4 linked regions of the Schizosaccharomyces pombe genome follow. The gene in region 4 interacts genetically with the main gene of each other region. Each region holds a gene or a part of one and is shown on either strand. Other genes may lie near its edges.

The links.
Region 1: of dhp1 (region 4) and tfs1, changing one suppresses a phenotype caused by changing the other (phenotypic suppression), as found in Schizosaccharomyces pombe (one study listed by BioGRID).
Region 2: of dhp1 (region 4) and sir2, changing one enhances a phenotype caused by changing the other (phenotypic enhancement), as found in Schizosaccharomyces pombe (one study listed by BioGRID).
Region 3: mutations in dhp1 (region 4) and rpb7 are lethal when combined (synthetic lethality), as found in Schizosaccharomyces pombe (one study listed by BioGRID).

The regions. Positions count from the first base shown.
Region 1 is NC_003424.3:2,114,413-2,119,474, reverse strand, and holds tfs1 (general transcription elongation factor TFIIS), read left to right. Parts: upstream 1-3,018; 5' UTR 3,019-3,093; coding exon 3,094-3,162; intron 3,163-3,219; coding exon 3,220-3,282; intron 3,283-3,457; coding exon 3,458-4,137; intron 4,138-4,200; coding exon 4,201-4,225; intron 4,226-4,274; coding exon 4,275-4,319; 3' UTR 4,320-4,562; downstream 4,563-5,062. Other genes in the region: mde1 (5'-methylthioribulose-1-phosphate dehydratase), read left to right, coding at 1-113; ATP-dependent 3'-5'-directionality DNA helicase fml2, read right to left, coding at 255-2,606; protein dsc3, read right to left, coding at 4,712-5,062. UniProt on the Schizosaccharomyces pombe protein: Necessary for efficient RNA polymerase II transcription elongation past template-encoded arresting sites.
Region 2 is NC_003423.3:3,608,161-3,614,145, forward strand, and holds sir2 (histone deacetylase, Sirtuin family, NAD-dependent Sir2), read right to left. Parts: upstream 3,527-5,985; 5' UTR 3,397-3,526; coding exon 3,213-3,396; exon of another isoform or gene 3,050-3,212; coding exon 2,987-3,049; exon of another isoform or gene 2,950-2,986; intron 2,946-2,949; coding exon 2,863-2,945; intron 2,733-2,862; coding exon 2,701-2,732; exon of another isoform or gene 2,616-2,700; coding exon 2,179-2,615; exon of another isoform or gene 2,115-2,178; coding exon 1,486-2,114; 3' UTR 1,057-1,485; downstream 1-1,056. Other genes in the region: plasma membrane ZIP zinc transmembrane transporter Zrt1, read left to right, coding at 1-956; heat shock protein Hsp104, read right to left, coding at 4,199-5,985. UniProt on the Schizosaccharomyces pombe protein: Involved in silencing within the mating-type region, at the telomeres, and according to PubMed:12867036 also within centromeric DNA regions.
Region 3 is NC_003424.3:2,899,608-2,904,391, reverse strand, and holds rpb7 (DNA-directed RNA polymerase complex II subunit Rpb7), read right to left. Parts: upstream 2,309-4,784; 5' UTR 2,105-2,308; coding exon 1,631-2,104; exon of another isoform or gene 1,564-1,630; coding exon 1,519-1,563; 3' UTR 1,259-1,518; downstream 1-1,258. Other genes in the region: tcb3 (tricalbin), read left to right, coding at 1-1,023; P-type calcium transport ATPase Cta4, read right to left, coding at 2,698-4,784.
Region 4 is NC_003424.3:3,355,293-3,363,655, reverse strand, and holds dhp1 (5'-3' exoribonuclease Dhp1), read left to right. Parts: upstream 1-2,652; 5' UTR 2,653-2,763; coding exon 2,764-5,739; 3' UTR 5,740-5,906; coding exon of another isoform or gene 5,907-6,527; 3' UTR 6,528-6,576; coding exon of another isoform or gene 6,577-6,924; 3' UTR 6,925-7,512; downstream 7,513-8,363. Other genes in the region: Tf2-4 (retrotransposable element/transposon Tf2-type), read left to right, coding at 1-2,109; SPOM_SPAC26A3.11 (mitochondrial omega-amidase), read right to left, coding at 5,907-6,527, 6,577-6,924; cnt6 (centaurin ADOP ribosylation factor GTPase-activating protein), read right to left, coding at 8,041-8,363. UniProt on the Schizosaccharomyces pombe protein: Possesses 5'->3' exoribonuclease activity. Required for the processing of nuclear mRNA and rRNA precursors. May promote the termination of transcription by RNA polymerase II. Essential for vegetative cell growth and chromosome segregation.

The sequences.
Region 1 (5,062 bases), 1.2 Mb from region 4:
ACGGTATTTACTGCTGGGGCGATACGTGGCAAGATACCAAAATGAATACTGAAGCGGTAGAATTTTTATTCCAAGCTTATTTACGGAGAAGAAGGCTTCAAAAACCAGAATAGAAATTTTGTGACAGCTTGAAAGACATTGCGTTCTAAGGTAAAAGTTACTATATAACAAATAAATAAGCTTAAACTCACATAAGTTCCTACTAAAGTTTCGGATTATGATATTTTTTTCTTTAAGGTATTTAATCAGTAATTTCATGTACTTTGAAATAATGCATTCGACGTTTTCTTCATCCGCTTCCGTTTAAATTTCTCTTCATATTTTAAGTATTTGGTGACAGAGGAAGGCGAGCATTGTTGCAAAAGTCTACCCCGTCTATAGATGCTGAGCGTTAATAAAGAATGTGGTACTTTTGCGAACTTAGTCAATTTGTCACCCATATAGGTAGGCTTTGAAAATACATTGCGTCTGGCGTTATAAATACAACTTCTATAATCCGATTTAAATCGCTTAATTTTTGCGTCTTCAGTAGGCACCCGTAGGTTGCTTTCCATATCTTCAAAAACATCATCCACTATGAAAGGAAGATACCGTTTAGAACGAGAATGCGCTTGGTTCGCTAGTGTATTTACAGGTGACAATGATGAGGAATTATTGTTATATGAGTTTAATATCAATGTTGCGTCCGCATTGTTCTGTAAAGCTTGAAATTTAAAAATAGGTTGTATGTTGCTAGGGATTAAACGAGGAACGTCCTTTTTAAGTGCTATTTTTTTACCGGATTCAATTACCTTTTGAACCCTTCTGTAGGAAACTTGAGATCGCTCCCATTTAGAATCTTCACAATCTTCGGTAAGAAGCACAAAAACTTTTCCACTTTTCTTACGACCAGTTCTACCCATTCTTTGAATCGTGCGTATCGGTGAAGATGAAGCATCATAGCAAATAATCATATCGGTATCACCAATGTCTAAACCCTCTTCGCCGATTGATGTAGCAACTAGCGTGTTTATAACACCTGCACGAAATTGATCGATAGTTTCTTTTTGTTGCATCTGATTCATGCCAGTTGAGTAAGCCGAGTTCGCCTGCCCAATAAATAAAGAAGCTCGAACCATAGGTCGAATTGCCAACAATGTCGTTGTGATATATTCAGCAGTGTTTCGAAATTCTGTGAAAATCATAACTCGTTGATTTTGATAGCCTTCAGAAGTATCTTTGAAATGTTCTTTCAAAAGTTCAAGAAGATGATTCATTTTAGGATGGTTTAATGACAAACCTTGAATTTTATTGTGAAGGTGTTCTAAATAAAAAGCAAACGGTTTACTAGTAAACAACCAAAAGCTTTGTCCACTCCCTTTTCCTTCAGCTTTATTTTTAGTTTCCACAAGCTTTTGATAAAATTGGATAATCCCATGACAATCTAACAGATACGTTATATGAGCACATGAAATCAATAGCGTAAAGCAACTCATGATTTTTGATTTTTCTTTAGATTGTACATTTTTTGAACTAAAGGAATACTTTCGTAAAGAAACGAAAAGCGTATAAGCTTTTATATTAAGGCATTCACAATTGATAGGTATAAGTTTTTTTTGACGGAGAAAATTAAAATATGGCCGGTATAGGTTAGCAAAGTCCGATTTTAAAATATTCATTTCAGAGGAGATCGTGACCTTAATCAACTGAATCTTTTTATGAAAAACATATGAGCGAATATCTATACTTTCTTCGTTGCGAACAATGAGTTTGGAGATATGGAGGCAATCTACTACCTTTTGAACAGAGGCGGTAGAAGATCCTGGAGTTGCGGTTAAACCAAGGACTCGAAAATGACTATTAGATCTAAGCACTGCCCTCATAACCTGAGCATACGAATGGTTGCCAGTAGCTCTATGAGCTTCATCAAATATCAGGCAAATAATACTTTTGGCATCCAGTAAATGTTCCTTTAAATCATTCTGGAGTGTTTGTGGAGTCATGAAAAATACTCGTTTCGTATTGTATTCGAAAAGTCGACGATCCGGTGATACTTCACCGTTCAATTCAGCGGTAGCACCTGGTGACATTCCCGCTACATTGGAACAAGCAACTCTTTGTTGCAACAGTAATGGTTTTGTGGGGGCAAGAAATATTATTTTGCTTTCAGGAAACCAACGAAAATAGTTTAACATGACCACTGCCGCAATAAATGTCTTTCCCAACCCAGTAGGTAGAGCCAGTAATAAATTGTGGAATAATGCTTGCTCACAAAATTCCTTTTGATAATTTCTATACTGCTGAGTCTGTGGAAAAATCCAGTTTTGCATTGCATCAATATTTTTTGGAATGTCAATATTGTTTTCTAACTCAGTTATAACTTGAGGTTGAGAAGAAGGAACCCTACAGCCTCGCAAGTCTAGTTGAAACGTAGTATTTTCAACGTCTTGATTATGTTTTATACATTTCAAATTTGGTTGCCTTAAAGCAGGATTAGAATTCAACAAAGATCCTTCAACATTACAAAGCACTGAGGTAGGAACATTTCCTCGTTCTCCGTTCACCTCGATACTTGGCAGGTCTACTTCAGAGTCGGAATAGTCACTTGAGTCTCTCAGTACAATCATGAAACTAAATTTATGAAAACGAACGAACACATAGACCAAAGTAAGTTTCAAAAATAAACTGAATATCAAACTTTTAAATTCTTGAACATCAAGTTTCTTCAATTTGATCAAACAACATTATAATCTTTGCTTTTCATAAACAAAGCTGATAAAACAATTAACAATTGAGTAAGATCAAGTCAGCGGAGGAGCATGAAAATTTAACGTTGTAAAATAAACACGAGTACTAATGCGATAAACAGAAAACAGTTTGCAAACTTGAAAAAAAAACTGTCAAACTCAAGAATTCAACTAACAAAATCACGTTACGGGGTGTTGATATTCACATCAGCAACTATGGTGGTGAAGAAAAATCACAACGGTATTAGTAGACATGTGAGATGTAAAGCGCGTTATCCAAAATAAATCCTCTACCACCATAAGATTATTAATTTTGCAATCTGCTAACCAACAGCAGTGTTTACAGTATTCGAACTTAATTTGAATCATGGACTCTGCTGATATCCGATCTGCGAAAGCAGCTTTGGAAAAAGCTATTCAGGGAAAGAATATAGAGGTTTGTAATTTGTGCTATTGGGACTTACAGATGGTTTTGAAGCTAATATCAAGCTAGACTATAATTAACATTATGACACGTTTAAAAAATGAAGTAGTTGCTACCGAAGAATTACTTAAGGTAGGTTTATTACATGCAATATGGTAGTATTCTCGCACGGATTGTTGACAATATATTACATGAATTTTGCAAATTTCACTTAATAGAAATAACATCTTTCTTAAAATACGAATTCCACAAGAGTACCAACATTTGATGGAGAATCGGTATTCAAAATACTAACCAATGATGCTAGGAAACCCGGCTGGGATTAGTCGTTGGCAAGCTCAGATCTCATCCCAATGAGAAAGTTGGTGAGCAAGCTCGGGAAATTGTAAAAAAATGGAAAGCCGATGTTAGTAAAGGTCGTCCATTGAAAACCACAACTACAACTTCCTCCACGCCTTCTAAACATGCGGATGTAGGTTCTCAAGCTCAAAAACAAGTTCAAAAACAAAGCAGCAGTGGTCAGCGTACTTTTAAATCTGATAATGTGAACGTCAATGTGACTGATGACAAGATTCGCAACAACTGTATTGGATTAATGTACAATGCATTAGTCATAGATTCGGATGAATCTTCTTCATTAATAATAGCCAAAGCCAAAGAAATTGATGCGCAAGTACTTGCTAGAGCAGCAGGTAAAACTGGTTCTGAATATCGAAACAGAATGCGGTCCTTGTATATGAATCTTAAAGATAAAAATAACCCGAAACTTAGAGCATCAGTATTACGAAATGAAATTACTCCGCAAAGACTCAGTACCATGACTTCTGCCGAATTGGCTTCAGAAGACCGTCGCAAGGAAGATGCCAAGCTAGAACAAGAAAATTTATTCCATGCGCAAGGTGCTAAACCCCAAAAAGCTGTTACAGACCTTTTTACTTGTGGGAAGTGTAAGCAAAAAAAAGTTTCTTATTACCAAATGCAAACAAGGTATGTTATTTGTCATGATTTTAGTACTTTTTATCGCGTAAAATTTATTAACAATCCGTATAGATCTGCTGATGAGCCTATGACAACGGTAAGCATTAGTCTATTTGGGTAGAATATTTGGACTAATTTTTTTTTAGTTTTGTGAATGTACTGTTTGCGGAAATCGCTGGAAATTTTCTTAAATCTTGGGTCAGCCCATTTAGATACCGGTTGTAAAATAATCCTTCATATTTCTTCTTCTTTTTATTGTTTTAGAAGCACTCTCCTCTATTGTGTGTGTTTTTTTTTGTTTTAGGATCTGATTGGTATCTTTCATTCTAGCGATGAATATATGCATATTTTACTTTTGCACACTCAATACGACACTTTTACAGTTATCCTACTTTACACTTCTTAATAAATCCAAATGGTGTTTTAAACGTACATTTAATAAGTTAACGCTTGATCAAAGCGAATAGATCATAAAATTCGACATTATTAATCCTCAATTAAACTGTAGTCATAATTAACAAGTGCAACGAAAAGTGGAACGATTAATTGTATTGGACAAAAATTTTAACAAAAATGAACGGGTTTACCATCGATACGAGTGTAATAAGCCGTATGCAAAATTGCAAATAATTCCGACAAGAATGGATAATTGCATTCTCAGAGAGAACATTGTCCTTTCCCAAAGAAAATAACAAGCAATAGCTCCTCCAAAAAAGCCTATTAATACTCCAGCCAACAAGGTTTCATATGACATGTCAAGTTCGTCGGCAGAAGAGTTTTGTCCTCCATTGTCAATCCAATCGTCTTCTGCCTCTCTGATAGCGTCTTCCGTGAGTGAATCCAAATTAGTTCCTCGTAAGCGATGAAATTGGCTACGCAAATTATTGACCTCGGTTTCTGTAAAACCAGCTTCACGTAAACGATCAAAACCACG
Region 2 (5,985 bases), on a different chromosome or scaffold from region 4:
GACCCAACGTTTATATTGAATATCTCTATCTATTCGCTCGTTATTTTGGTTCTGGTGTTATTTTGGCTACTGCTTTTATTCACTTGTTAGCCCCTGCTTGTAACAAGCTTTACGATCCTTGTCTTGACGACCTTTTCGGAGGTTACGATTGGGCTCCAGGTATTTGTCTTATTTCTTGTTGGTTTATTCTCTTGTTGGAGGTCCTTTTGAATCGCTATGTGGAATGGCGGTTCGGTATGGAAATCGGCGATCATCATGGTCCAACTCTTGGTGCCAAACAACACAGTCATAGTCACGAAGACGGTGCTCACGGTGTTCATGAACATCCAGTTTATGATATTGAAGAATGTGCCGATGGTGTTGAGCATGAATGTGTAAAGGATGACTTGGAAGAAGTAAAACTAGAACCTTATACGAATACTGATAGTACCGATTTGACTACTAAAGAAGAAGCTCGTAGTTTCTTACTAAAGCAACAACTTACTGCCTTTATAATTCTTGAATCTAGTATCATTTTGCATAGTGTTATTATCGGTCTTACAACTGCCGTCTCAGGTGAAGAATTTAAAACTTTATTTCCCGTCATTATTTTCCATCAGGCCTTTGAAGGTTGTGGTTTAGGTTCTCGTTTGGCGGGAATGGCCTGGGGCCCAAAAACTGCATGGGTACCTTGGGTGTTGGGCGTTATCTATTCGTTGGTTACGCCTATTGGTATGGCAGCTGGTTTAGGTGTTCGTGAGCATTGGGATCCTCTTGCTCATGGGTCTTATGCTGCCCAAGGTGTTTTGGATGCTATCTCATCTGGAATTTTGGTTTATGCTGGTTTAGTGGAATTACTTGCACACGATTTCTTATTTAGTCCTGAAAGAGAACGTAACTGGTATAAGCTTATTTACCTTTTGGCATGCTCGATGGCTGGTACTGGAGTTATGGCTTTGTTAGGTAAATGGGCTTGATTTGGTGGCTTTTTCGATGATCCGTGCATTTTATATTCTTCATTAAATCTGTTTTCTTCTTTTGAGTTTGAGTGTCAATATCGTTGACCAATTTCTAATTGTCCGTTTTCAGTTGTTTCTCTTTAGTATCGTACAATTAGATGCTTCATTGGTTGTATTGATATGTACCAATCAATCTTTCAATTTTAAATAATAATTGTGTCATTTTCACTGATTTACTATGCTTAAAAAAGTAGCTAATTTTGCATAGCCTATGAATGTAATTTGCTTCAATGTTCATTTACTAATTACACAGTCCTTGGTATTGTAAAATGTATTATAACTTGTTTTAATGTGTTTTCACCCAGTTTAGCAGATTTAAACATTAGGTGCGAAGAGAAAAAACAGTTTTTAACAATGGCACTTACAAAACTAAGAAGTCTCAAACGGATAATAAGTTAATGTCCAATAATCTGGCTCTCATACTCGATATATGTATATAATATATTTGCTTCTACATTCAACTTCGATAGATCGATCAGTCCTAAAATTAACAACTACCGTTTGTTGTGCTCGTGATATGATAGGTGCTGGGCTCCTCAAATTTTATATCCAAATCCGTTTCGAAAGCTCGCGTTTTGGAACCACTATGACACTCAGGTAAATCGCAAAGCGCTTGTAATTCATTCAGCCATCCAGCACGTTTACAAATCTCCACAATAACCCAATCACAATAAGGACTTAGAAAATTTACATCGAATTGGGTATGACGAACAGGAGTCCTCGAAATGTAAATCTGAGGAGTAGTAGGAGGAATAACACTGATGAGTTCTGAAACAGGAGCCACTTTTAAAGAAGTTCCAATACAAATTAATAAATCAGTCTCTTCAAGCTCACCACTCCCGACTTTGTTAAAGAAAGAATCCGGTAAGGCTTCCCCAAAAAATGTGATATCAGGTTTCATAATCCCAGGTTGAGCTAGATCATCTTCAGAAGATTCACTATCACCATCTGAAAAATAATGTTTCTCTTTTTTATTTTGACCGACTCTTCTTAATTTTAAGGGTGGTTTTCCGCATTCATTGCAGTAAGAAACTCTTTGATTTCTTATGTCTTCATATAACTCCGATCCATCCACCTTGTGCTTGCATTTGATACAAGTTGCGGTAGCAAAAGACCCTATATAATCAAATTAGACAAAATCACCAGTGCTCGAGATGCAAATCGGAAAATAAATACTTACCATGACATTGAATAATTTTGTTATCGGAGAGTCCAGTCTTTTTTTCCAAATTGTCTATATTTTGGGTAAACAATGTTGATAATTTATTCTTCTTTTCAAGCAATCTAATGAAGGCATGCGAGGGGGAATAATGATTCGTCTCCGGCAAAAGATCTCTAGCAAAAGTATAAAAAATTTCTGGATTTTCTCTAAACGTATGGATATCAAACATTTCAGAAGGTTCCGATAATCCATGGCGTGCCAAACGGGCATAAAAACCATTGTCTGAACGGAAATCTAAAATTCCCAAACTTGTACTTATGCCTGCCCCAACAAGGACGACAACATTTTTAGCTTTTTTCAATAAATTAACAACATCTTCAAAGGTATTAAAATGTGGAAGTTTGATTCTCCTAGCAACCTCACGTTTTAAAACTTCCTTCAGCAAAGGAAGTAAACTAATTAGCACGTTAGTATATCGATAGCAGATATTTTAAAAAATAAAAGATAAAAAGATAAGAAGGAAGTTAAAGAAAAGCATACTCTATGTCTTCAAACTCTTCAAGTGCACTAGGCTATTTACGTTAATAAATCTAGGTAAAGTCATAAGAAAACAAAACATGCAGTAGACCAAATTATTATTGCAATTTAACAAAAATAATCTGCTAATTTAATGTAATGCAAGTTATAAATCAGTAAGCATACCAAATTGATTCCAAGTTTTTTTAAAATCGATCGTACAGGCAACTCTTCTTCTATTAAATATTTCTCCAAGAATTTCGCATAGCCTACAAATACTAGTTAAAATGTAAATTAAGTAACTCCTTACCTGAAGCCCTTAAATATCTGACCATTTCGGATCGTTCATCCAAATCACTTATGTTTTCTGTTTCTAAGGAATCGTTAACTTTTTAAATAATTAAAATAAACTAAAGTATATGAAAAGCACATAGCTAACCTGAACTCAAAATCGTTGATCAATTGTAAATTTTGTAAATTCAAATAGACTTGCGCGTACCCTTGAAGGTATTGGAGTTAATAGTTGATATTCATACCTGGTTTATCCCATTCATCAGAATCAACCTCTTCATCCTCAGTTTCTTTACTGCCGCACATAATATCTACTAGTAAACTAGCACCGGAACTACTACCAGAAGAGCTAGGAGAATAACTAGCGACTGGAATTTTTTCCTCAACGGGAGTCGTCGGCATATTATTATCTAGCGGATTGGAAGCCATGACAGAGTTTGTATAACATGAAAATATGACTAATCAATTATTTTTAAGGAAGTATAAATTAAAGCTTCGTTTGAGAAAGGCAATGATCTACTGAACTGAAGATCTCTGGTTCAACTTTTCGATAAGTCTTATTACAATTACGAAAAGCTAGTCTCTTGTTTAGTGCAGTAAAGTTTCGTTAGCTTAATGGTATGCGGGCAACTGTGATCTCGTTATTTCCTGGTAATAATGGCTATTAGAAGCAAAGCACTGTATAAGTTTAACTATACAACTTGTTAATTTAAACGTTGCTTTGAACCATGAGAACTGGAATGCGTATTAGTATGCAATGCGCAAGTGTAGAAAGTAATGAAATGATATGATAGTGATTTACCAAATGTTAAAGTTAATCATGTAAATTCAATTTAAAATCTACTAAAAGTATGAGAGCTAATTCTGCTTTGATTTTATAAGGAATTACGAGCACTTTCTTACAAGCTCGACTTTCTTGAATGGACTGCATTAATTAATACCTACTAAAATAAATGGAGGTTTTTCGTAAATAACAATGGATTATTTGATAAATTTAAGATTCAATGTTTCATCATACTTGAATTGCTAATAACTAAAAACGATGTACTTAGCTTTTGTTAAATTGATTCTATCTATTCGATAAAGTTCATTGAACATTTTAATGAGAAAACAGTACTTCCTAAAAAGTTTATATACTATATTTTTATAAATAAATAAAATATATTAAGATTAAGCATATCATTAAACTATATCATAAAGTATCGTTAGAACTTTCTCATTTGAAATACATTTATTCCAATTCTTCATCATTAACATCGTCGTCAATACCATCCATGTCAATATCAGCAGAGCCGTTTGCATTAGCTTCATGATTTGGTTTGACAAATATCTTGCCATTTTGGACTACGACATGAGCAGTCTCCTTATCGCGAAGCTGGCCATTCAAAATTAAGACAGCCATGGGATTCAAAACTTGATTTTGAATGACACGGTTCAAAGGTCTTGCACCATAAGCAGGGGAATAACCAGCGCTTCCAAGAAGGTCTTTAGCTTCGTCGCTAACCTCGATTTTAATTGAGCGATGATTGGATTGAAGCCGTTTCTGAACCTCTAATATACGATTTTCGACAATATTGCGGATATCCACACGACGCAGACGATTAAAGATAACGATTGAAGAGATACGATTCAAAAATTCGGGACGGAAGAAGCCACGAATCGAGTTCATAACCATTTCCCGAGTGGTACTATCTATCTTTCCATCATCAGACTCATTGTCTGTTGTCAAGTATTCAGCGCCCAAGTTAGAAGTCATAATGATAACAGCATTCTTGGCATCAACAACCTGGCCTTGGCCACTAGTGATACGTCCATCATCTAGTACCTGCAAAAGTACAGTCAATACTTCTGGAGCAGCCTTTTCAATCTCGTCAAACAAGATGACGGAGTAAGGTCGTCGACGAAGTTGTTCAGTAAGCTGTCCACCAGCTTCATGTCCAACATAACCGGGTGGTGCTCCAATGAGACGTGAAACAGAGTGTTTTTCCATGTATTCAGACATGTCAATACGAATCATTGCATTTTCATCATCAAACATAAATGATGCCAATGCCTTTGTCAATAAAGTCTTACCAGTACCGGAAGGACCGCAAAACAAGAAAGATGCGATTGGTTGATTAGGATCAGAAAGACCAGCACGAGATAAGCGAATGGCGTTTGCAACTGCAGTAACTGCTTCATTTTGACCAATTACTTGTTTACTGAGAACCTTCTCCATGTTAAGGAGTCGTTCCTTTTCAGTTGTCTTCAAACGAGTAACCGGAATACCAGTCCACCTTGCAACGATTTCGTTGATTTGATCGGGCCCAACTACGTCAATAAGTAAAGGTTCTGAGCCTGGTTGAGCGTTTGCAATCGCTTCTGCATCAGCCTTTCTTTTTTGTTGCTCTAAATATTCAATACGTTTTTGCAAATCAGGAATACCATAGTATTTCAAATCAGCAGCAAGAGTGAAATCATTACGACGCTCGGCATCCTCAGCCTTAGCCTTCAACTCATCAAGACGACGCTTAGCATCTTGAAGTTCACTTCCACGAGACTTTTCTAATTCATACTTCTCACGAATAGGTCTTGTTTCTTCTTCCACTTGTTCAGCCTCTTTACGAGCAGCCTTGAGACGTTCTTTGGAAGCTTCGTCCTTCTCACGCTCTAAAGCACGAATTTCAACGCGGAGTTGTCGAAGCTTTCTCTCAAGGTTATCAAGAACTTCGGGCTGAGATTCACGAGTAACACGAACTGCAGCCGCAGCTTCATCGACCAAGTCGATGGCAGAATCTGGAAGACGACGAGAAGTTAGGTACCGGGAAGCGAGATGGGCAGCAGTAACCAAGGCACGGTCAGAGATAGTAACACCATGATGAACCTCATACTTTTCTTTAAGACCACGAAGGATAGAAATCGTATCTTCAATAGAAGGCTCTTTTACCAAGATGATTTGGAATCTACGTTCGAAAGCAGCATCTTTTTCGATGTATTTCTTGTATTCAGCCAAAGTAGTAGCACCAATACAGTGAAGCT
Region 3 (4,784 bases), 460 kb from region 4:
ACGTCTGTTAAAACCTCAAAACCAAAGAAGATTTCAGAACTGCTTATGCCGTCTGAAGCTGTAAATGCAGCTTTAGACTTTGAATCTGGCTTCATGGGTTTCGACATAATTTCGTATAAAATAGCTAAGCCAGCCCAAGAGTTAGCTATATTTTTAGACGATTTACCTCATCATATTTTCTTATCATCTGCCTTAAACGTCACCGGTGGTGCTACCCTGCATGAGTACGGCAATACTTTCATCAGACAACTTGAATATTCTCAATGTACTTTCAAGCTGCTAGATGGTGATAAGGAGGTTGGTAGCAAAACTATGCTGAGTCGCGATTTAATTAGTAAAGGCGCTACTAAACCTCTGGAAATTGCATTTCCTGATGGTGCTTCGATTTTGGTCGCTTTTAGGCTAACTCCTGTTCCTGTGAAACTTGAGGAAGTTGAAATGTACGAAAATATGGGAGAAATGACCGTCGATGTCATAAAAGCCACGGATCTCCCTGCCGCAGATTCCAATGGAAAGTCTGATCCTTTCGTTGTTTTCGAGTTGCAAGGAGAAGAAGTGTACCGGACTAAAACGCACAAGCGGACGTTAAATCCTACTTTTAATGAAAGTTTCGAGGTCGAACTTCCTTGCAAGCAAACCTGTAATTTTGTTGCTAATGTTTTTGATTGGGATTTTGGTAACAAGGACGATCATTTGGGCTCTTGTGTAATCGACTGCAAGCTTCTTCAACAGCAACAACAGACTAACTATGAAATTCCTTTGGATAGCAAACAAGGAGTTCTTTATCTTCGTATAACTCTGAGCCCAAAATGGGTCCTTCGTTCCAAACGCGCCGGAAATTCTTCTCTTGTCGAAGGAATTCTTGGACAGACTGCTTCGATTGTTGGTATGCCTCTTAAAGGCATTAGTACTGTAGGTAATGTTGCTGTTGATGGGGTTGCCTCGGTGGCTAACCTTACGAACAAAATGCGAAAAGGAATAAGCCGTGGTTTTAAAGGAATTCATCACGAGAAGGCAAAGTGACTTTCCATTCTGTTATTTATTAGTTCTTTATTACAATTCGGTTTTCGCATTCTGACTTATTTGAGTAATATATTATCATTATGTTAAATGCATACTTTGATTATAAGGTATTTGAATATTTTCATGGTTTTCTATTTACCGAAGAACGATAAAGACTTATGCACTCCTAATAGATAAAATGCTAGCCCAAGATTGTATTCATAAGGAAATCGTCGATTGATATTGCGATTATATACAATAATTAGGGAAATTCTATTGTTGTGTAAAGGGTATATAAAGTTAAAATTTTTTTTTAAAGATATTGCGCAGCTTTTAGCCATAACATTACCACAGAATAGAGCCAAAATTTAGATCGATAAACGTTGGTATGCGCTTTTACAACTACATGAATAAACTTTGAGACCTAGAAAGGAACTTAATAATAACAGTATACGCGATGGTTAGCATTGAATTAATGAACATGAGAAATAAAAGACAAATTAAAATTTTATCTTTTTAAAGAACGCCTAGATAATCCTCTTTCATTGTTGCAATGGCAAACTAGATATTATGTTAGTAACACGATTAATTAAGCAAAATAAATATTGTGAACTATTGGGAAACTTACAATTTCGGTTGCATCAGTCCTTGTACCGACAATCTTAAGTCTGACATTCGACCCCTTTTCAATAACTTGATCCTCACCAGAATAATTAGGAGGGTTTGCAGTAGGGTCAAACTTCATATCTGGAGGCACCAAATGAGATGAGACAAAGACATTTAATGGTCCTATATTTGCGAAGAATCCCATTTTATTTACTGTTGTAACAATTGCATCGACCACTTCCCCACGAAATGGTCTCCATAACACTGCACGATACTTTACCTCAAATTCGGCAAACCCTTGCCCAGGAACTACCCTCCCTTTATCAATATCTATAGTATTACTGTCCAAAACGCAAATTATATAGCCATATTGACCTGAGCATGTGCCTTCCACGTCCGCCAACAATTTTGCCTTTAAATAGTCCTGCATTCTAGGACCGAAGTAACTGGGATGCAGAGAAATCGTTAACGAAAGCTCTTTGAGGAAGAAAGGCATTGTATCGATAAGTTAATGCAGAAAAGCCCCAATTCAACTCGATCGGTCGATGCGTATTAAAACTGTAAAATTTTGGTTCAAAATAGGGCAAAAATGATGAACATTAAAAAAAAAAACTTTAAATGAGCTTAGCTCTTTTTATTAAATTAAATTATCCCAATTTTTCAGCGGTTTTCGCAATTGCTTGATATATGCTGAGCGTTCGAGGATTTACGAAGTCCCAGTATCATGGGATAGCGCTTATAGAAATATCCCAAATTTTATATGCCTTTCACCTTGCTACTGAGAAGGATTTTAACAAGTGAATATTATTTTATCTCTAATAAGCATCTATTACGTCCTATAAAAAGCTCACTTACACTATTCCAAATTAATAAATCAAATATGCCAAGAATGAATCAATCATTGAGTCTATGTAAAATATTCATAACAAGTAATCAAATTGAAAATGGTGATAAATATTGTATACTGACCGAAGAAAATTGACATCCTTGCCCATCAGTGAGTAATGCAATTACTCATCAGTTTGTTCAAATGAATATTTATCTAAGCTTGTACAGATAAGTAGGTGTAACCCACTTATATAATTGTTCTTAATTACGAAGAACAATTTCCTTCGGCTTGTTGTCACGGAAGTATTTTTTCATAAGCTCTTCAATAATCCAACAAGCCGCGTAATCTACAACCATTGTGGCTAACAGTTGTATCTGGAAATTATAAGCCATTTTAACTAACTGAAGTTTTGCGTTGAGTTCAGGCGAAAACTCAGTTACACCAGCAATAGCGACAAAGGCAATGCCCAAAAGGCCATAGTACATTCCTTTATTTTCACTTAAAGCTTCACGGAAAGGACGGCCCTGATAATTGATAGCAAACGTTGAGACTTGTTGAATAAGTTGAAGCAAATAAATGGCAGTATTCAACAAAGAAGGCTTGAAGGTTTCTTCTAAATCCACCTTTTCTAAAGGATCCTCATACAGATAAACGACACGAGTTATATAGATAAGGGTAACGATATGAATAGCAAACTGACCTAAAACAGAACCAATTATGTAAGTGTTAAAAATTCCAGCTTGAGGCCTTTCTTTTGAAAGAGTTTCAAGTGGACGAGCCCGTGAAACACAGTAAAAACAAACAGACATTAACATTCCCGAAATAGTGTATTGAGTATCACCAAATTTAATTCCATCCAGATGAAGTACTGACAACGAGTAAGCAGTGATCAAACAGTTGAGAGCCAAAATCTTATGCATTTGAACGAGGGCAACTAAAGTACAACGACCTTGACGCACAATGTTGGTTATCGAAGAAACTACAGCTAATTTAGAAGTAAATGGTGCAGCAACAGAAGCGTCTCCTAGCTTAAGTTTCGGTGCCTCATCATCAGAAGCGTTTGCTAAAGTGTCAAACATCTTGTTAGCCAGATTTGCCCGTCTTTCAGCAGCTTTCTCAGCTTCCGTTAATTGAACATCACTAGCTTTCTTAGTTTCCAAATCTTCCAGGACCTTATTTAAGCCTTCTTGAGTCTTTTCACGATGAGGGTTGTTAGGACCAGGAGGGAAAGCATGGCAAAGTGCAGGTGGAACAGGAGGAGTTGGAAGATTAAATCTTTTAGCAAGTTGAATTTGCTTTTCATAAACGCCCATCAACTTCTGATTACGAGCTCTCTCTTGCATTTCAAGCATATCTTCTTCCGAAGCATTTAATAAAGCTACACCAACGTGTGCTTGTTTAAGAGCACCCACATCATTGGTACCATCACCACACATAAGAGTTATATATCCATTGTGTTTCAAAGTTGAGATCATGAATTCTTTTTGAGAAGGAGAAACACGCGCATAAACCCAAGCGTGAGTAAAAATTGACATAATAACGTCCGGATTGATAATTTGAGACAAAGCACGACCGGTAATACAAAGATCATACTTTTCGTACAACGAAGCTTCCAACGATTTATGAGGATTCATGGGTAAATTGATTGTATCATCTGTGCTCTTCCACTCTAAAATCTTTTCATTCTCATGCTTAATATCCAATACGAGGGTTGGCTTTTCAACAATACCAACTTGTTCAGCTACATATACGGCGGTCAGAGGATTGTCACCAGTTATCATCATGCAACGATGCGAAGAATTGTTTAGCATTTGCACAGTTTGCCTAGCATCCTCTTTAAGAGGAGAAGTAAAAATAAGGAATCCCGCAAATACAAGGTCAGACTCAATAGATTCACGGCTCAAATCAGAAACTTGATTCTCAGGGATATAATTTTTAAAATATTTATAACCTAGGGCGAGTACTCGAGACCCTTTACGACCATAATCTTTATAAATTTTTTCATAATCCTTAGGGACCTCCCGCAACATAGTAGCAATCACTTCAGGGGCTCCTTTTACCGAAACAAAAGTTTTAAAACTTCCTCCAGACACTCTTACGTTGGAAACAGAAGACTGTCTTTTTAAAGCTGAAGAAAATTGGAAGTTTCGAATGATTTGAACTTTACCTTTATAAAAAACAGAACCTTCAGGTGCTGAAACAAAATTCTTTTTCTCAATAGACCAACCCAAGTTTTCAACCGTAGCCTTTTCCATGGGGTCACCAACGACTTTGGGAGTTTCACCTTCTTGTTCCAGCAAAACTAAGGTATGTGCCGTAGCAATTGCCAGTATCGCATCGTTAGAAG
Region 4 (8,363 bases):
CAATGGAAGCAACCTAAGAATCGTAAAGAATTACGACAATTTCTAGGTTCTGTCAATTATCTTAGGAAATTCATTCCAAAGACATCACAATTAACACATCCACTCAATAATCTTTTGAAAAAGGATGTACGCTGGAAATGGACACCAACACAAACCCAAGCGATAGAAAACATTAAACAATGTTTAGTTTCTCCTCCGGTGCTACGACACTTTGATTTCAGTAAAAAGATTCTACTGGAAACTGATGCTTCAGATGTCGCTGTAGGAGCCGTATTGTCTCAAAAACATGATGATGATAAATACTATCCTGTTGGATACTATTCAGCAAAGATGTCTAAAGCACAATTAAATTATAGCGTATCGGACAAAGAAATGCTTGCAATCATTAAGTCTCTCAAACATTGGAGACACTATTTAGAATCCACTATCGAACCTTTCAAAATTTTAACAGACCATCGAAACTTAATTGGTCGCATTACTAACGAATCCGAGCCTGAAAACAAACGTTTAGCTCGTTGGCAATTATTTTTACAAGACTTCAACTTTGAAATTAACTACAGACCTGGATCAGCAAATCACATAGCTGATGCCTTATCCAGAATTGTTGACGAAACAGAACCAATTCCAAAAGATTCAGAAGACAATAGTATCAACTTTGTTAATCAAATCTCGATAACCGATGATTTTAAAAACCAAGTGGTTACAGAATATACGAATGATACAAAATTGTTGAATTTACTAAACAATGAAGACAAACGAGTGGAAGAGAATATCCAACTCAAAGATGGCTTACTAATTAACAGTAAAGACCAAATCTTATTACCTAATGATACTCAGCTGACTAGGACAATTATTAAAAAGTATCATGAAGAAGGTAAATTGATTCATCCAGGCATTGAACTTCTTACAAACATTATATTACGTAGATTTACGTGGAAAGGAATAAGAAAACAAATACAAGAATATGTACAGAACTGCCATACATGTCAAATAAACAAATCTAGGAATCATAAACCTTATGGACCTTTACAACCAATTCCCCCATCAGAAAGACCTTGGGAATCTTTATCAATGGATTTTATTACAGCTTTACCAGAATCATCTGGTTATAATGCACTTTTCGTGGTAGTTGACCGATTTTCAAAAATGGCAATCTTAGTACCTTGTACGAAATCCATTACAGCAGAGCAAACAGCTCGAATGTTTGATCAACGAGTTATTGCTTATTTCGGCAATCCAAAAGAAATCATTGCAGATAATGATCATATTTTTACTTCCCAAACGTGGAAAGATTTCGCACATAAATATAATTTCGTTATGAAATTTTCGTTACCATACAGACCACAAACTGATGGACAAACTGAGCGTACAAACCAAACTGTGGAGAAATTACTAAGATGTGTATGTAGCACACATCCAAATACATGGGTAGATCATATATCCCTAGTGCAACAATCTTACAACAATGCGATACATTCAGCAACTCAAATGACACCTTTTGAGATAGTACATCGCTATTCACCAGCTTTATCACCTTTAGAGTTACCTAGCTTTAGTGACAAAACTGACGAAAACTCTCAGGAAACGATCCAAGTATTTCAAACAGTTAAAGAACACTTGAATACAAACAACATAAAGATGAAAAAGTATTTCGATATGAAAATACAAGAAATTGAAGAATTTCAACCTGGAGACCTAGTTATGGTCAAAAGAACGAAAACAGGTTTTCTTCATAAATCCAATAAATTAGCACCTAGTTTTGCAGGACCGTTCTATGTGTTACAGAAGTCGGGTCCAAACAACTATGAATTGGATCTTCCAGATTCAATCAAGCACATGTTTTCATCTACTTTTCATGTTTCTCACCTAGAAAAGTATCGACATAATTCAGAACTCAATTACGCTACCATTGATGAGTCTGATATTGGAACAATTCTTCATATCCTAGAACATAAAAACAGAGAACAAGTACTCTACTTAAATGTCAAGTACATTTCGAATCTAAATCCGAGTACTATTATGTCAGGATGGACTACATTAGCTACAGCGCTACAAGCGGACAAAGCAATTGTCAATGATTATATTAAAAACAATAATCTAAATATCTGAGAACATATGACTTATCCTCAGATTTACATAGAAAATCTTGGGGAGGGCAATGTCAGCAATACTACACTACGCTATAATACACTACGTTGAGTATCACTATATGTCACATGTTCTAATTATATATCGTACCATGTATGATACGATATGGAGATTGATCTTAATGATAATCTATTAAGATCAATATTATCTGAATACTATAAATAGAGCTACTGCTGAACCTCGTTCCTCAGTTCAGTTATGAGCTATATTAGTGATAGGTAACATTATAACCCAGTTAATACAATACCTATACTCAGTTGCTACTTATACAACCTGTGTATTGTAATATAATAGATCACAAGGAAAACTCACCGCAGTTCTACGTATCCTTAAATCAGATACCAAACTGCGTAGCTTACACTTAAGAGACTAGATTTTAACTATTGTATAGCGAGTACGTTAGTAATTTCCAATTTACTCCAATGTGCGTTAAAAAATTTAGGTAGGACTGCGGAGACTACGCTAGATCTAGATTAAAATACCTAAATATTAAATCTTCAACTTATACTACACTCGTAGTCTTTAGTATCTAAAATTTACCAATTTGGGCTTTTTTGAAGCATTTGGTTTGGAGAAGATTTATTCGATTGAGTATTTTCTCCTTTACACCAAAAAATGGGTGTTCCAGCACTTTTCCGCCTTTTGTCGAGGAAATTCGCAAAGGTCATTACACCTGTTATTGAGGCTCCTACTGAAAAGCTTCCAGATGGTACTGAAATTGAACCAGATTTAAGTCTTCCCAATCCAAACGGAGTGGAATGCGACAACTTGTATTTGGATATGAATGGTATTGTTCATCCTTGTTCCCATCCTGAAGATCGCCCCGCTCCAGAGACTGAAGACGAGATGATGGTTGCTGTCTTTGAATACACGGATCGTATTCTTGCCATGGTTCGTCCTCGTCAGTTATTGTTCATTGCAATCGATGGCGTGGCTCCTAGAGCCAAAATGAATCAGCAGAGATCACGTCGTTTTCGTTCTTCTCGTGAAGCAGCTCTCAAAGAAGAAGAATTACAAGCCTTCATTGAGGAGGCAAAACAACAGGGAATTCCCATCGACGAAAACGCTACGAAGAAAAAATCTTGGGACAGTAATTGCATTACCCCCGGCACACCTTTCATGGACACTTTGGCCAAGTCTCTTCGTTACTACATAATAAATAAACTAAATAGTGATCCGTGCTGGAGAAATGTCAGATTTATACTTTCTGACGCCTCGGTTCCTGGTGAAGGTGAGCATAAGATCATGGAATTTATTCGATCTCAACGAGTGAAACCAGAGTATGATCCAAATACACACCACGTTGTTTACGGTTTAGATGCAGACCTAATTATGCTTGGTTTGGCTACTCATGAACCCCATTTTCGTGTATTGCGTGAAGATGTCTTCTTTCAACAAGGAAGTACTAAAAAGACAAAGGAAGAGCGTCTTGGCATCAAGAGACTTGATGATGTTTCTGAGACCAATAAGGTTCCTGTAAAAAAACCATTTATATGGCTCAACGTTAGCATTTTGAGGGAGTATCTAGAAGTGGAACTTTATGTCCCCAATTTACCTTTTCCATTTGACTTAGAACGTGCGATTGACGACTGGGTCTTCTTTATCTTTTTTGTGGGTAATGATTTTCTTCCTCATTTGCCTAGTTTAGATATTCGTGATGGTGCCGTAGAGCGGTTGACTGAAATATGGCGAGCTAGTCTTCCGCACATGGGTGGTTATCTTACTTTGGATGGTTCTGTTAATTTAGCTCGTGCTGAAGTCATTCTGAGTGCTGTAGGTAACCAGGAAGATGATATTTTTAAGCGTCTTAAACAGCAAGAAGATCGTCGTAACGAAAACTATAGACGCCGTCAACAACGCGAGTCAAATCAGGAATCAGAATCTTATGTTGACAACGTCGTAATTCAGCGTTCAGTTGAGACGCAATCGACAGAAGTTGTTACCTCTTCTAAATCAACTTCTGTTGATACTAAACCGCCAAAGAAAACTCAAAAAATTGACGCTCCGGCTCCAGTGGATTTGGTTAATTTGTCTGAAAAAACTTCAAATCGATCTCTAGGCGCTACTAATAGAGAATTAATTAATAATCGCGCTGCTAACCGTCTTGGACTTTCTAGGGAAGCAGCTGCTGTTTCTTCAGTTAACAAATTGGCGGCCTCTGCATTGAAAGCTCAGTTGGTTTCAAATGAGACACTACAAAATGTTCCTTTGGAAGACAGCATAGCTTCATCCAGTGCATATGAAGATACCGATAGTATTGAATCTAGTACCCCTGTTGTACATCCAATAGACACAAAAGTTTCAAATGTGGGTCAGAAGAGAAAGGCCCCAGATTCGACTGAAGAAAATGAAAATACTGATACAGTCCGCCTGTATGAGCCTGGATACCGCGAACGGTATTATGAACAAAAATTCCACATTTCACCCGATGAACCAGAAAAAATTCGTGAAGCTGTTAAACATTATGTTCATGGATTGTGCTGGGTTCTTTTGTATTATTATCAAGGCTGTCCATCTTGGACCTGGTATTATCCATATCATTATGCTCCTTTTGCCGCTGATTTCAAAGATTTGGCCTCCATAGATGTAAAATTTGAACTAAATCAACCCTTCAAGCCTTACGAACAATTACTAGGCGTTTTACCTGCTGCTAGTAAAAATAATTTACCTGAAAAATTGCAAACTCTTATGACTGATGAAAACTCTGAAATTATTGACTTTTACCCGGAAAATTTTACTATTGATTTAAACGGGAAAAAATTTGAATGGCAGGGAGTTGCTCTTTTACCATTTATAGATGAAAATCGGCTTTTGAATGCTGTATCAAAAATCTATCCTCAACTTACCGAGGAAGAGTCAAAAAGAAATGAGGATGGTTCTACTTTATTATTTATTTCTGAACATCATCCAATGTTTAGCGAACTTGTCAAACAACTTTACTCCAAGAAACGTCAAGGTAAACCACTTAAGTTATCCGGAAAGATGGCACATGGATTGTTTGGCAAAGTTAACACCAATGATTCCGTAATTCCCAATGTATCCGTTCAATGCCCAATTGATGTTACATCCGCTGACGCCCTTCAGAAGTATGGAAGCATAGATGATAATCAATCTATAAGTCTTGTGTTTGAAGTACCTAAATCGCATTTCGTACATAAATCCATGCTTTTAAGGGGAGTGAAAATGCCGAACAGGGTGTTAACCCCAGAAGATATCAACCAAGTACGTGCAGAGAGGAGCTTTTCTTCCCGCCGAAACAATGGTAATTCGTATCGTGGAGGACACCAAAGTTATGGTGTCCGACGCTCTTACCAATCGCAAAGTTACAGTAGTCGACAGAGCTACACTGGAGTTACTAATGGTTTTGCAAACGGTGGAGTTCAACCTCCTTGGTCTGGTAATGGCAATTTTCCTCGTTCTAATGCAAGCTATAACTCTCGCGGCGGCCACGAAGGATACGGCGGGCGCTCGAGAGGTGGTGGTTATTCGAATGGACCGCCAGCTGGTAACCACTATAGTAGTAATCGCGGAAAGGGTTACGGCTATCAGCGAGAATCCTATAACAATAATAACAGGAATGGCTACTATTAATACATTTAAGTTTTCTTAGTACAATTTTGAAAGCGGGTTTGGGATATTGGAGATAAATAATATATCTGATTATTTGAATTTCATTGGCACATTGCATAATTAGTTATGCAATTCAGTTACAAAATGCATGTTGATAACATAAAATTATACTCAACAACTATACCGATCTATTCCTCTTTCTTAAGAGCAGGTAATACTTCTGAATAAACATCAAAGCGGCGTTGAGTATAGATAGGAACGCTGTTTCGAGCGGTAGACATGACAGAGGGATCAATATCTGCGTAAACGATAGACGGTTTTTCATCAGTAGTAGCAATAACTTTTCCGAAAGGGTCTACAACAGTAGAATGTCCCCATGAATGATAGTCAGCGTTCATATCTCTAGCAGGGGCACAGCAAGCAACGAACATCTCATTATCAACTGCTCGGGCTCGTGCAAGTAGTTCCCAATGTAAAGGGCCTGTGGACAAATTAAATGCTCCAGGGTAAATCATCACACTACAGCCATTTCTAGCTGCTATCATAGCGAGTTCCGGAAATCGTATATCGTAACAAATACCCAAACCAAACTTCCCGTATTCAGTGTCAACCATAGTCATGGCGTCGCCAGGTGAAAGACTATCAGATTCGCGGAAGCTAACTCCACCAGGAATGTCAATATCGAATAAATGAATTTTCCGATGAACGGCTATCAATTTTCCAGAAGGATCAAACACCATTGCAGTGTTGTATAATTTGCCATCCTTGCGTTCAGGAATAGAACCGCCAAATAAGTAAGTCTTAGTATCCTACAGTACCGTTAGTCTCACATAATCAACGAAAATTAAATTAACAAACCTTTGCCATAGAGGATAAAGCTTGGTAAGAAGGAGATGATTCCTCTATAGGTTCAGCATACTGATTAAAGTAACCAGTACCATATGGTGAATTGAAAATTTCTGGTAATACAATGACATTAGAACCGTTTTTAGCGGCTTCCAATACTTTTAAACGAGCGAGTTGTAAATTTTCGCTCTTGTCTTTGGTATTGGCAAGCTGAACCAAGCCAATACGAAAAGCACGAAAATCTTTAGGAACCAGAGATGAAGCTGAGACAGACATGATGTTCCTTGTATAGCAAAAATTTAATGAAGGAAAAAAGGATCTTGTGCCTTTTTGAACGAGTCCAAAAAATTTACTGTTCATATAAACAATCACCGACTTGAAATTTTAGGTGAAGGAAGAGGAATGAGTAGAAAGCAAAGATACGAGGGAAGATGTCCTGATTTGTAGGCTAGTCTCAGAATATCTAGCTTGCGATAATTTTGAGCTCCAAAATATTATATTCCTGAAATCTCAATGTAACTTATTAAGCACGTGGCTAGCGAAATCCTCCAATCCAAATTACACCTTGTTATCAAAAAGAAATTTAGCAAGGTGATCAAACTTCCATGTCTTTGATAAGAAGAATGTCGACATCAAACTAGTTTTCAATCTATTGTAAATCTAAAGAAGAAAAAGGGATTTACATTCAAGCAGCAACTACACAAATAGAAATCGTTGTTTGAATGTTACGGAAGGCAAGACCAAAAAAATTGTTTTTGTTTATCTACAAGTTACAAAAGAATGATATTTATTACTGTGTCAACTAGTTTATAGGTAATGATAATATCGTCTGTCATTTTTAGAAAAAGGGGATTCAATTACTATAGATATTCAGTTGTTCCGAATGTGTTGAAAAATAAAATCTTAAGCGTCTTCGTTTCGCAAAAGAAGAAAATAAATGTTATAATAGCTCGAATGAACTGTTTGGCATACATGTTAATTTCACGTATATTGAATATTGATCTTGTTCAATAACAAATGAACTTATGGCATGCATAAGATCCATCAATCGAGAAGAGCCTAAAAATCGCATTTGAATGCGTATTTAAAGAAAGAATAGCTGTATCCTTAGTCAAAAAATTTTGTATTGAAAGAAAAAAGATTAAGAGTATAATGAAAATAAAGAGGAAAAGAAAGTTCGAAAACCAAAAGATGACCAAGAAAATAATGAGTAAATTACGTTGTTTAGCAAACAACCAAAATAAATTGCAATAATAAATTATAGAATTAACACATGATCCGAATAAGAGTAAAGCTGTGGAGATTAATAAGCTCTCCATTCAAATTCGTTGCGCTTCAAATCATGGAATTCACGGAAATCCGAAATGAAATGACACCTGAATAGATATTGAAATAGATGGTAAAAAGAAAGAATGAATTCGATTGGAAAAATGAACATAAAAGATGATTTGATGCAAAAAGTAAAAATGCTTCTCCCTACTCTTTCAAATACTTTGTAAATTGTTTTTGCGAAAGATATGATTGCATATCTGGACTTACATGCTCCGACAACTGTTCGGAGTCAGGAAGCAATAACCCATTCATGAATAAAAGTTCCAAGAGATGTAACTTACTAGTATCACGAGTAACCGCTTTTAAAAACACCACTCCATTCTCTTCAAAATTTGGTTTGGCGGCTAAACCTAGTAATATTTTGGAGATTTTATTTTGCTCCAAACCCTCCAATAAAGTAGCATCAGCATCTACTCCTGCAAAGTCAATGAATGCGTGTTCCACATACTTCTTCTGGGCAAATGCCA